3 linked regions of the Coturnix japonica genome follow. The protein of the gene in region 3 interacts with the protein of the main gene of each other region in a biochemical or structural test. Links are inferred from orthologs where the notes say so. Each region holds a gene or a part of one and is shown on either strand. Other genes may lie near its edges. The genes, in order: ERBB4, FLT3 and SYK.

The links.
Region 1: the proteins of SYK (region 3) and ERBB4 form a complex in vitro, tested with the Homo sapiens proteins (2 studies listed by BioGRID and IntAct, with this or other methods). The link is inferred for Coturnix japonica from reciprocal best matches to the Homo sapiens genes SYK and ERBB4.
Region 2: of the proteins of SYK (region 3) and FLT3, one has a biochemical effect on the other in vitro, tested with the Homo sapiens proteins (2 studies listed by IntAct, with this or other methods). The link is inferred for Coturnix japonica from reciprocal best matches to the Homo sapiens genes SYK and FLT3.

What each region holds. Positions count from the first base shown.
Region 1 is NC_029522.1:7,035,283-7,038,931, reverse strand, and holds part of ERBB4 (receptor tyrosine-protein kinase erbB-4), read left to right. Parts: intron 1-1,241; coding exon 1,242-1,289; intron 1,290-1,558; coding exon 1,559-1,606; intron 1,607-2,160; coding exon 2,161-2,458; intron 2,459-3,649. UniProt on the Homo sapiens protein: Tyrosine-protein kinase that plays an essential role as cell surface receptor for neuregulins and EGF family members and regulates development of the heart, the central nervous system and the mammary gland, gene transcription, cell proliferation, differentiation, migration and apoptosis.
Region 2 is NC_029516.1:157,441,165-157,444,813, reverse strand, and holds part of FLT3 (receptor-type tyrosine-protein kinase FLT3), read right to left. Parts: intron 3,372-3,649; coding exon 3,254-3,371; intron 2,358-3,253; coding exon 2,206-2,357; intron 1,622-2,205; coding exon 1,482-1,621; intron 1,403-1,481; coding exon 1,249-1,402; intron 1-1,248. UniProt on the Homo sapiens protein: Tyrosine-protein kinase that acts as a cell-surface receptor for the cytokine FLT3LG and regulates differentiation, proliferation and survival of hematopoietic progenitor cells and of dendritic cells.
Region 3 is NC_029547.1:39,246,683-39,251,010, reverse strand, and holds the start of SYK (tyrosine-protein kinase SYK), read right to left. Parts: upstream 2,826-4,328; 5' UTR 2,532-2,825; intron 2,489-2,531; exon of another isoform or gene 1,445-2,488; intron 1-1,444. UniProt on the Homo sapiens protein: Non-receptor tyrosine kinase which mediates signal transduction downstream of a variety of transmembrane receptors including classical immunoreceptors like the B-cell receptor (BCR).

The sequences.
Region 1 (3,649 bases), on a different chromosome or scaffold from region 3:
TGTCTTGAATACTCTGTGGCACCACAGGAATGTAAGTAACCTATTTCTTGAGCCTTCCAGCTGCTCATTGCCCTGGTGAAGAGATGTGCACGGAGGGACTCCTGTCGAGGCTTTGCAGACAGCTGGTCCAGAAGGACATTCAGCTAACAGAGTTTTTTCTGCACTTTTGTATTTTGCAACCTGGAGCCTTTTGTTAGAAGGTTATCGCTTGGCTAAATACAGATGAATTTGAATGGCAGTGCAGAAAAGCTTGTTCTTAACTAGGGCTTGTCTTGTCCACCATGTTTACACCTTAGACAAAAGGTGTTAGATTTGAGTTACAAAATGGCCGTGGGAATATTTATATCAACAAATCGAGCCCATTCATGAACACCAAACTGGGCTTTCCACATTCATCGTGAATGTTTTCCCCGATGCAGATACTGAACTTCAACCAAAAGCCTCTCTTTATAAAGGCTCGTCTTAGTGACGTATTGGCAAAAGGCACAAACTGACTGTGGTGCGTCCCATCCCTGTGGTGTGACAACGTGCATCTTTTCTGATTGTACTTAGAGTGTAGCTGTTAGTACCGATACGTTTCTGCAAGAGATTGTAATAAAGCAGGCATCTCTTAAAGAGAAGCATTCTCGCCGTGGTCAGGCTTCTTACCCAAGGATGTGGGATTTTTTCCTCACTTGTCTCAAGTTCAGCCTTTTTTTTTTTTTTTTTTTTAATATCCTGACTTTTTCTCTCCCTGAACTGGGAGGTAAGGGAAACAGAGGGAGGTTTGTGAAACAAATTGGGAAGCACAGTAGTTATGAAGAACAGATCTAGAAATCTGAAATGTACCGTTTTAGCAGTAGAAAAATACGTGATTGTGTTTCTCGGCTTTATTTTCCTTCCCAGAAGATCAGCATTTTCTCATTGAGAAATAGGTCAGTTTTGAGCAGCACGGAGTAATACAAGAGCAACTGGTGTGCCAATGGTATCAGAATAAATGAATGTGTCTTTATGGAGGGATTGCTGTACAACCTCCACAACTCGCCCCTACCCAGCGAGGGAACCTGGCCACCTTCCCCAGGGCAGGCAGGCAAGCAGGCACACAGCTTTTTCACATCAGTGAAACACATCTTTGCAGTTTGGATTCGCTGAGGAAATCTGATGAGCATGTTTCTCCCCATCAGTTCATAGAGCTCATGCAACTTGTTTCACCCTGTGACCTCTAAGTACGTATCCATCATTCCATTTTTCTTTCTCATTAGAGTGAAATTGGACACAGCCCTCCTCCTGCCTACACCCCTATGTCAGGAGTAAGTATTTCACATTCAACCTTCATTCTTTAGGTTTTCCTCCTTCCTTCACTGCTTGTTTTCTGTTTTCCCTCCCTTATTCCTATAATGTCTCAAAACCCAACACTGAATGCAGTTTGTGTATGTATAACTCGGGGATCTCTAAGCTCAGCTTGGATTCATCTCTGAGCTCAAGGGATCCACATGCAAAATCACTGCCGATATTTCTTTGAAAAGTATTTAGGAAACAGGCTTGGATGAATCTGTCCATTTTTCCTTCCCATTTATAGGTCACGATGTCGAAATTTCCTTGCACGCCCTTGCTGAGAAGCAGAATGGTAGGTTGAGTTGAACTGTTGAGGTGTTGGCGAGAGCCTTGCTCACAGCCTGGTGGAGCTGCACAGTGTCTGGGTGGCTTTGTGGTCAGTGCTACCAGACACCCTGTGAGCAGCCCCCCTGGGAGCAAACCAAGTTGACCTAGCATAAGGTTTAAGGGTTTTGTTCAGAAATCACGGGAGGTTTTCTATTAAGAAAAAGAGAAACTGGGTTTGCTTGCCTTTTGCCACTGTGAATCTCCAACTTCCACATCTGCGTAGGAGACAAGTTCTGTACCCCATTTCTAGCCTCATTGCCATCCAGTCTCCCTGCAGCCCTCCCTGCCCTGATGCTCCTCCCAGGGAAGGGACCTGCTCAGCAGCACCGGGCAGGCAGATGCTTTGCTAGACCCTCAGCACTGGAAATGTGGCAGCCTGCAGGATGGATGAGGATTCTCCTGCCCTGTGAAATGCATCATTCAGCAGCTGTGGCGGGAGAGCCAAGGGCATGCCTTGTAGTACAATGTTGCTTCCCTTTAGAGAGCGTTCTTTCTAAGCTGCCTTCTCTTTCTCAACAGAACCAGTTTGTGTACAGAGATGGCGGCTATGCTGCAGAGCAGGGAGTGCCGATGCCATACAGAGCTCCTGGCTGCATCATCCCAGAAGCCCCAGTTGCTCAAGGGGCAACGGCAGAGATCTTTGAAGACACCTGCTGCAACGGCACACTGCGGAAGCAGGTGGCCACGCTGGCAAAGGAGGACAGCAGCACCCAGAGGTACAGCGCTGATCCCACGGTCTTCATACCAGAGCGGGTGATTCGGGGAGAGCTGGATGAGGATGGCTATATGACGCCAATGCGAGACAAACCCAAAACAGGTAACAGTTGGTCCTTCCAGGGAAGTTCCCAGTCACTGCCTTCTCTATTTGTCTACATCGGCAGCTTTACACCTGAAAGGGTTTTATCTGCTAACCCAGCAGGACTGAAATATTCTGACTTGATTAACATTTCTTTGCTGGGGGGGATTCTCTTTTCTTTGCTTAACATTCTACTTAAGAAAGCTGACTGTACTATAATGTCAGGTTTGGTATTTCCCCTTTCATTTTTTGATGCTGGAAGGGAAAAGAGAGAGGAATGAAAAAGACAAAGCAAAAATAAGAAACCAACAAACCCCCCTCATTATCCAAGAACAAATATTTATACTTTTTCCAGTAATCTTTCTTTGTCCAGCCATGGTCTCCACTTGGCTTTGTTTATTGATCTGCTTTATCGTCACAGCATCGTGGTTGGTAAAATGTCAGGTTGAACATACCACAGAACCGATGCACATAGTTGGCATTTTACGCCCAAGAGAAGTTTGGGACGGAAAGAATGCCGTGTGCTTTGGAGGAACCATCACCGTGAGGTGGAGTGTGCCTGTGTTACTGCCAGCTCAGTGCCATGCTTCCCACTTGGCCTTCGTTCTCTCCTTTCTTTTTAAATAGCAGCAGCACTGTTTTGCTGTGAGGGGATGTGTCATTAGTCATTTGCTTTCAAACATTTGCATTGGCTTTAAAGAAATTAATCAAATCAGATGTAAATGCCAAATAACTACTGAGTTTGCTACAGGATTTGGAAGACTGTTAATACGTAGTGGAAACAGAGGGGGTTGTGGGACAAGTGCACTTGTAAGCTAAGGCAGACAGTGTCCCTGCTTATCTTCCCTTCCCATCCTCCTATCTCACTTCCTGTGTACCTTCAAACCTTTCTGCAACTGAACCACATCTTTTTGTGGTGTTAGCCCGCAGCAAATGTTTTGAAGACACCACAACCTGTGCCAACTGTTCTGGAGCTAATGTTAAGACTCTACTGTACCCTTTCCAGGACTCACTTGAATTATTTTTCATAATGCTTCAAGGCCCTTTGCCCTTCAAGGATGGAAGCTTTTTAATCAGGCAAATTGTTCTATTAGAAATGAAGCTGTCTTAGAAGTTAAGCCTCTCTGCACAAAAGCCATCCCCGAGGGCTAACTAAGATTCCTGTTGAGCTTTCTGGATGGAGCAACTGTGGAGCAGAGGGTTTGAGTGAAA
Region 2 (3,649 bases), on a different chromosome or scaffold from region 3:
AGGAGAATGGTTCACTTCAGTGCCTGAGAAGCAGAAGACAAACCAGCCAGTAACAAAGCAGCAGTTGTCTCTGGAGCTTCAGGTTTCCCTTCCTACCACCACAGCTGCAGCATGTCTCTTGTGAGGCATTTTGCCAGCTCTGTCATAATGGGTTGTTCATGATCTCTTTGCACACTGTTCACACTTCATGCAAAAGTTTTCATTCTGCTACTAGTTCCACAGGTAACTGAACTAGAATTCTTTTGCAAATTTTCTTTTCCCTAAATAGTTTAGCAAACTGAAATGGCCATTTGTCAGTCATTCCCTTGCCAGAAAATGAAATAGATTTTTCTCTTTTGTTCTGTGTCTTGGGTGAGAATGTCACCTCCAAGAGACTTGCAATTGTTTGGTTGCTTCCTATCAGACCCAGGTCAGACCTGATGCAAACTTTCTATTTGCTTTTTTTCTGTGTTGCAGCAATGAGCCCCTGAAGGGACTGTGCTTGCAGATGAAGTAAGAGACTCCATACCAGGCAGATGCAGATGGAGGATGTGGTGAGGAGACCGAGGTTATGGCTACAACTTTCCAAAACTCAGGATGGAGTCATAATAGAACAATTCTATATCACAGTAGTTAAGACCGTAGTAGTTGAGTAGTTGAGCTGGTGGTCTTCAGACTGTGGCCAAACTCATATACAGAGCACTAATACCTAAACACCGGGACAGGTCATGCTCGTAATACTCTTTGCCAGCTCCAGAAATGGTGTGTTCTGAAAGGCTTTTCTTCTAGTTGTATGCTCTGTATCTGCCTTACTCTGACTTGGTAGCATAAAAGTTCCTATGCCCAGAAGCCCCGGGGGCAAAGCTGCCAGTAGCTTAGTGTCCCCACAAAAAGCTGCCATGGCTTTCTGTCACACTGGTTTGGAGTCTCCTACAACATCATGAGTTGACCCTCAGCCTGTGCATAAAGAAATAACCACGAAACTTCCCAACAGTGCCTGTTCATTTCACCTCTAAAAGTGCTGTCTTTTAATGAGAGTTATTTGGAAAGCAATTTGGAAAGAAAAAAGTATGTTATCGTCAGGGTCCTGAATGACTCAGTTCAGATTAATCTCTTGGCTCTCCTAATCTGTTGCTAAGTGTAAACAGGATTTGTTCTTAGAAATCACCAGGAACATGTGTTACACACCTGCAAGCAAGGAACTACTATACTGAAAACAAAGCAAAACAGCCAGCCCAGGGACAAAATTAACACTGGGGTTAGCATTACCTAAAACAGTAACCAAAGCAGTTTGATTTGGATGAGCTGTAGAAGAGCAGGTATAACGTCCGCTGTCTCCTTTTCTCGCTGCTGAAGTAAACATGTACTGGATCCGAATGGCTGAGCGGTCTGTTTGGTACTCCAACCCCTCAAACCGGTGCTTCTGGATGTCAACAGAGATTTCCTTTTAATCAGTTGATGGTGCCTAGTATTGCTTGTTTTAAAACATACCGGTTTCTTACCTGCTGTGCTTCTTTGTTTTCAGAAGATAAATTGATTCTGAATTTGTAATTCTGATAAGCAGCTCTGCATCTGATCAGCAGTGGCTCCCCAATTTTGAGAAATAACTCAGCTGAAGGTGCTGCTGGTCTTTGACTTAAATCTACAAAACGAAGCATGGTCACAAAACAATGGCTATGATTCTGCCTAGAAAAACACTCATTTAAATCTATATTTGTTCTTCTAATGCTGCATAGACATCCATTATCATATTAGAATGATCATTAGAATTTGAGAAAATTACTCATTAACCATGAAATCAGGAAATCTGGTAGATTAGATATCTCAAACCAAATGCTTGTCATGATCTACAAGCTGTATATATATAGCATGGTTCAGCATGGCGTTTAGCACAAGTCAGGCTTATTAAAAAAAAAAACAAAAGACTAACAAACAAAAATTTTATGCTTTAAGGATATTTTGAAGCACATCCACAACAACAGAGCCTTAAAAGCATGCAGAAATGGATGATAGCTCTTTAGAAAAGGCAAGAGGCTGTTTACAGAGACCACAAAATAGCTGTAATGATTTAGGATTAAATACAAGACAGAGCAATTGCATTCACTGATAGATTTGTTCCAGTGGTTACAAACAACTTAGTCCAGAAAGTGAATTCAGGCAAGCTGTGCAACCAACTCCAGCAGCAGGATCCAGCTCACACATACAAAAACCCTCTGGGAAAGTTACCTATAGTGAAGAGACTGGAGCATTCTCTGCCCAGGTCATTAGCTGCACAGCACCATATGTAAGTTTCAAACAATTCACTCTGATATAATTCATATTGTACCTTCTGTATGCCATCTATTTCTCCATTTTCTTCATGCATTTTATTAAGGCAGCTGTAATTACAAGCACAATTATTCACTGACTTATTTGGTTAACCTCAAGCGAATAAATCTGATAAATCTCCAAGCCATGAGAATATGCAAACAATGGTGGGAAAATTTGATCTTACACAGCAAAATAAAAGGAACTAGGAAAGGCAAAGATAAGAAAATAAAAATGTCACAGCCTAGGCATAAGAATGATCTGAAATCCCCCAAATACTCTGAAAATGGTGCATGAATGGGTAATTCAATAGCTAAACAGAGAAATCATATAGGTTGGGCTTTCACATCACATCCCTGTATTCATGATGATGGAAACTGCTGTAAATCCAGCAGAAATGAAATCCCAGATCCCACATTGCCACACAGCAGAGAAAGGTATTCCCTATGGCCAGGGTACGAGACACACTGAGGTCTGTTTGCTTTGAGCTTATGTGCTGCTTACTTGAGCACATTCATACAGTTGAGGAATCAATCAAATATGTTAATAGAATGAGAAAAAATCATCTAGATAGGAAATGATACGATCCCTTATGACTTCTTCCCAGCTTTAATGCAAGCATATTTCTTTTTAAAGTGAAAAAAAACTAGAGGGAAAGGAGATACTTTAGATTTGTTCTGGTAACATTAAGATGCCAAAATCTGGAACAACATTTCCAAGCCAAGTGCTGGAGGTTTCCAAAAGAGTGCAACAGCCAACATTTCTACGAAATATGTGCTCCAAAGTTCCAACAGTGAGTCATGCAGACACATGGGTGTGCAGCTCTGCAAACATGAACCAAAGTTCTTCTTCATTCTACAGCCAACTCTCCAGGCAGACCCAGCAGAACAAAGCTTCTCCTTTCCTCATCAGAAATTGGTAAGCTCTCAGTCTAGAGGTTCATTATACATAAAAACCTGTGTCATACCTCTTTCCACGTGCTTTGCAAAATGTCCACTTCACAGAGGGCTGGGGGTAGCTCTCTGATACGCACTCTATTACACCCAGTTTTTCAGATATCCTGAAATAGGGTTTGCCCGGTTTACCTGTTAAAAATCATGCAACGGTTTAAAAATGCTGAAATAATTATTATCGAGCAGACATTGCCTTGCTTATCTCACAGTACATGAAGTCACAGAGATGAAACTTACTCCGTGAGGTTTCACTGCTGGGGGAGAATGAAATGATTCAACCCTGAGCATATGGAGGGTTGGTCTCAGGGGCTTTTCTGTCTTTATTTGCTAAATGAACAGATTATTATCAGAGACCTGCACCAGATAATGACCCTGAGGCTGACACCTTGCTGTTATGTTGGTGTTAATGT
Region 3 (4,328 bases):
CCATCAGCTAGTTACAAACCAAGTGATAGTGAAACCACACAAAATAATACTCTATTACATTTCTGCATTCTGGCTATTTAAGAATATTTCCTACATTTGAAGTTGTTCTGTTACCTGGTACAGAGAGGTGGCAGATACCTACGAGAACTTATAAGATGAAAACTGAAGCTCAATTGGTCTCAAAATATTTTTCCCTTTCTTTCCTTTCAACAAACTCATTTAAAGCAGTGGTCACTTAGTCATTGTGCACACAGAGACAGGAAATTCTGAACTAATTTTGGTTTTGGAATGTAAAGATAAAGCAACACAAAACTGTTTCCCTACAATAAAATGGTATTTTCTCCAAATTAGAAGTTAAGATGATCCTGCAAATGCTTGCAGTGTGATAAGTTTTCACTCTTATGACTGAACTACATTTCTCATGTTCACAAGATTATCTTGAGCTTTTAAAGAGAACACTGTGCTCAGACTGAAGTCGTGCACAGTCTTAGTGGCACAAGTATGTTCACCCCGATGCAGAAGATCACACAAGTACACCTCATCTTTAAATGCAAAATAAACAATTTTAAATAGCTGACTGGAATGATCTTTCTGTAATTGTTACTCACATGCAAAGATACACACTGAATTCCTTATAATTACAATACAAAATCATACATGTTCCCCTTTTCGGCCATTTTATCCTGGAGCTAAACATGTAACTGGTGTGCACAAAACAGGTATTGAACCACTGATCGAAGAGTCCATAAAGCTGAAAAATGGACATCACCATCTAGTACCTTTCTGCCATAAATACAGACACAAACACAATTGCTGACAGTCACAGTATTCTCACTAGGAATGTCAGCCAATTTACTGTGGGCTTTGTAGGGTTTTTTTGTTTGTTTGGTTGGTTTTTAGGGTTTTTTTTTTTTGTTTTTTTTTTTTTTGTTTTTTGTTTTTTGCTAAATATTGAGTAATGAAAAAGCATAAAGAAAGTAAAATGAATCAAAACTGATTATAAAAAAACAAACTTTGATTGCAATCCCATGAACTCTGAACACAACATATATTTCAGTAGTGACTTCTGCTCCTCATGTCTCTGTCATAACATACACACACACCCACACACAAAGATAAAAGTGTATGGTAACATGTCTATGTTATATTTTTTGTTATTAGGGTGCTTAAATCCAGCTTCTGGTTTTACCATCAGTGCTCTAAAATGCAGTTTAGTTTCCAGCGTAACCTGCTAGCTCCTACTAAAATTGAACTTCTGGTTTTGTCTTCCTGCAACTTCAGATCTAATTCTGCTCTTCTTTCAAAATGGACAAGTAGCACTGTTCACTGCTGATCTTATGGACTTAATACTTTCTAAAGGCAGAAAACCAAGAACACTTCAACAGTTTATCATGGGGTTTTGCAGTTATTTCATGTACATTTGAAATCTGAAGCAATTACTTACATTTTGGGGCACATTCGGTGATTCCAAACCTTTTAGTTCAAAGTCTTTGCCAAACTATAACATTTCTCCCCCACAGGAAAACTGTCAGAAATAAAGAGCATTCAAACTTCCTTATTTGTCTCTATCACTGAATGTTCAACAGAGGGATGAAAAAACAACACAGTTCCTCTAACTGGGCTGCCTCAACGTGTTCTGCTCTGCTTCAGCTCATGGCCTCTGAGCCTGTAGTAGCACCGAGCTTAAAAGACTGATAGTCACTTGAACCAGACAGCTGTGCCTGTGGATTAAGCTGCAGATTCAGCCCAAAGAATTGAGAATTCTAAATGTCTTTGGATAAAAAGAATATAAAAGAAGCCCAACTGAAAAGAACATCAAAAGAAGTTACAAGGAGTTCATTCCCTTAGATGGAATTGTTTTGTTTTGAAATGGAATTACTCTGTAATATTCCATGCATTCTGGCCAAATTGTGTCTCAATCACCTCTGGTGGGGTCGGCGTCACCCAACAAAAGCAGCATCCATCTCTTCCCAGGGTGGCATTACTACACCCACACCCAATGAACTCCAGCACAAACTGCACATAGTACAGAGCTACAGAAGAAAATACTGCCCAATACTGAAATGATCAGCAGCAAGTCAACCATTGCACCCTTAGTACCAACATTCAGCACTTCTAGCAATGCTCTGTGATTATTCTGACAGAAACAAAATCCAGATTTTTTATAAGAAAGAAGCTCTTTTTAAAGCCATTTTCCCAGGTGCCAAATCTTTTATATACTATGCACCATTCAGAAGCTGAACAGTTACTTTAGTGTAAATTTTACGCTGTTAAAAACTACTCCGCAACACATTCAAAACATGACTAAATCTATATATTTTCTGTATTTAAGTTCCATATTCTAGTTCCTCAAATGCCAGGCTACCGATGTTACTACAGAAGGACGGAACGTTCCAGCTTGCCTCAGCAGATTGGCACATTTACTCGCCGCTCTCCGGGTAAACCCCGGAGAAAAAAGGCGGCTGGCAGACCCCGGCCCACCCCGCTCGTTGTTGCCAGCATCCCCCCGGCCCGGCGTGGCCTCCACTCACCGCTACGGCGGCTCCTCCGCTCGCCGCCTACTGCCGCCCACCGGCTCCTCCTGGGAGCGAGCCGAGCGGCGCGGCTCAGCCGAGAGCTGTGCCCGAGTTATGCGTTGCGAGAGCCGCCGCTTCCTCGTTTTCTCTCTCAGCCGAGGCCACTTCCTCAACGAACTGTCGGCCCCCTGCTCCCTCCCTCGGGCGATTCCGGCCCCCGGCCTGTCAGAACGTTTGTCCATGAGGGTGTGCGGTGTGCGACCCGCGGCGCCCCGACGTGCGTGTTGTGGTGCCCGATGGTGTGAGGTGAACGTGGGAAAGCAGAGGGACGCAAGAGTGGTCGTCTCTTGGGAGAAAATGAATAGACCCGCTGATTGTCAGCATTGAAATGTAATGTATTTTGGTACTTTTGTGTTTTGGTGAGAAAATTGCTTCTGGAGGAGCAAAAACGGTTTGTATTTGAAACAACATAGGATCTTTGTGCTGCATATGGTATTTACTCATTTTGTAGCCGCTGCTAGTATGGAAGAGACAACACCTGGTGTGGAAGAGAGCTGAAGAGGACCCCGTCCCTAAGGCTCCATGTACGAGGGAGTCAATTCCACTACAGATGTCTGCACATGCAACAGACGGCAACAAGCTTCTCCAGGATGCGCTGCCACTGGCATTGAATGGCACCTCAGGTGCACCTGCAGCCATGCTTCTCCTTCAGGCATGGCCACTGCATGGTGGTGTTGTGTGCCATGATGAGCAGCACTAACGTGAGGCGAGGTCTGTTTCCTGCTCCCTTGTATTAAGTGATTGCTGCAGTGAGTGGGCCTGCTTATTGTATAAGAAAGAGGTGCTGCAAGGAAGCACTGGCTCTCCTTCCACATCCATTATACTAAACAGAGCTGCCAAAGGGCAAAAGCCTCATGTTTCATACCGGTTGAAAAGGGCCTTTCTTTTGGTCTGATTGCCAAAGTGCAGATACATTTCTGAATTGGCACTACCTGTGTGTTAAGAAAACTTGATTCTTGGAGGGCCTTTGATGGCATAAGTCTTTCCTAACACCATCCAAAGGCACAGTCTACAGGAAATGGCTTTTGGAAAGTCATTACTGTGCTATGAACAAGATTTTAAGCAGAAGTTTCTTCTTAAATTGGTGAAAAAAAAAAAAAATGTTTCATGACTTTTAATTATATGTGAGCAAGAGTACTTGACCTGGTAAGGGTAGAGTTAACTTTCCGCAGCAGCTGATATGGTGCCTATCTGGGATTTTGAGTAATAGCGTATGAGTAATGCATTTTCTTTGCTGCTGGGCACTGCTGCTCAGTGGTGAGGTTTCCTGTGTTTTGCACTCTGCCCCAGTCCTCGCCAAGTAAGCAAGTAATGGACAAGATGGAAGGGGACACTGATGGAACCAGCTCTGTACCACAGCAAGAATCAGCGTGGGGATAGATGGAAAAGGGCAGGGGCTAGTGCTGTTTTCCTGCTCACAGACCAGCTGAGTATCACTCATCTTATGGAGGTGAGCAGATGGTTGAGAGAACTGGAAGGTGCAAAGCAAGAAAACGTGCATTGAGATAGGAACAAGTGAGGGAAGGGGGAAGATCGTATCAATGTAGCCACTCACCTCATGGAGGAGATGATAGGATCTTCCCCCTTCTCATGTTCCTATCTTAATGCATATTTTCTTGCTTTGCCCCTTCCAGCTCCCTCCACCATCTCCTGTGCAGGGGAAAATTATCAAGTGGCTGTGTGGGTGCTTGTCTGCTAGTCAGGAGCAATGCAAAACAGAAGTCAGGGAAGTAAATATTTTATAACGCTCTG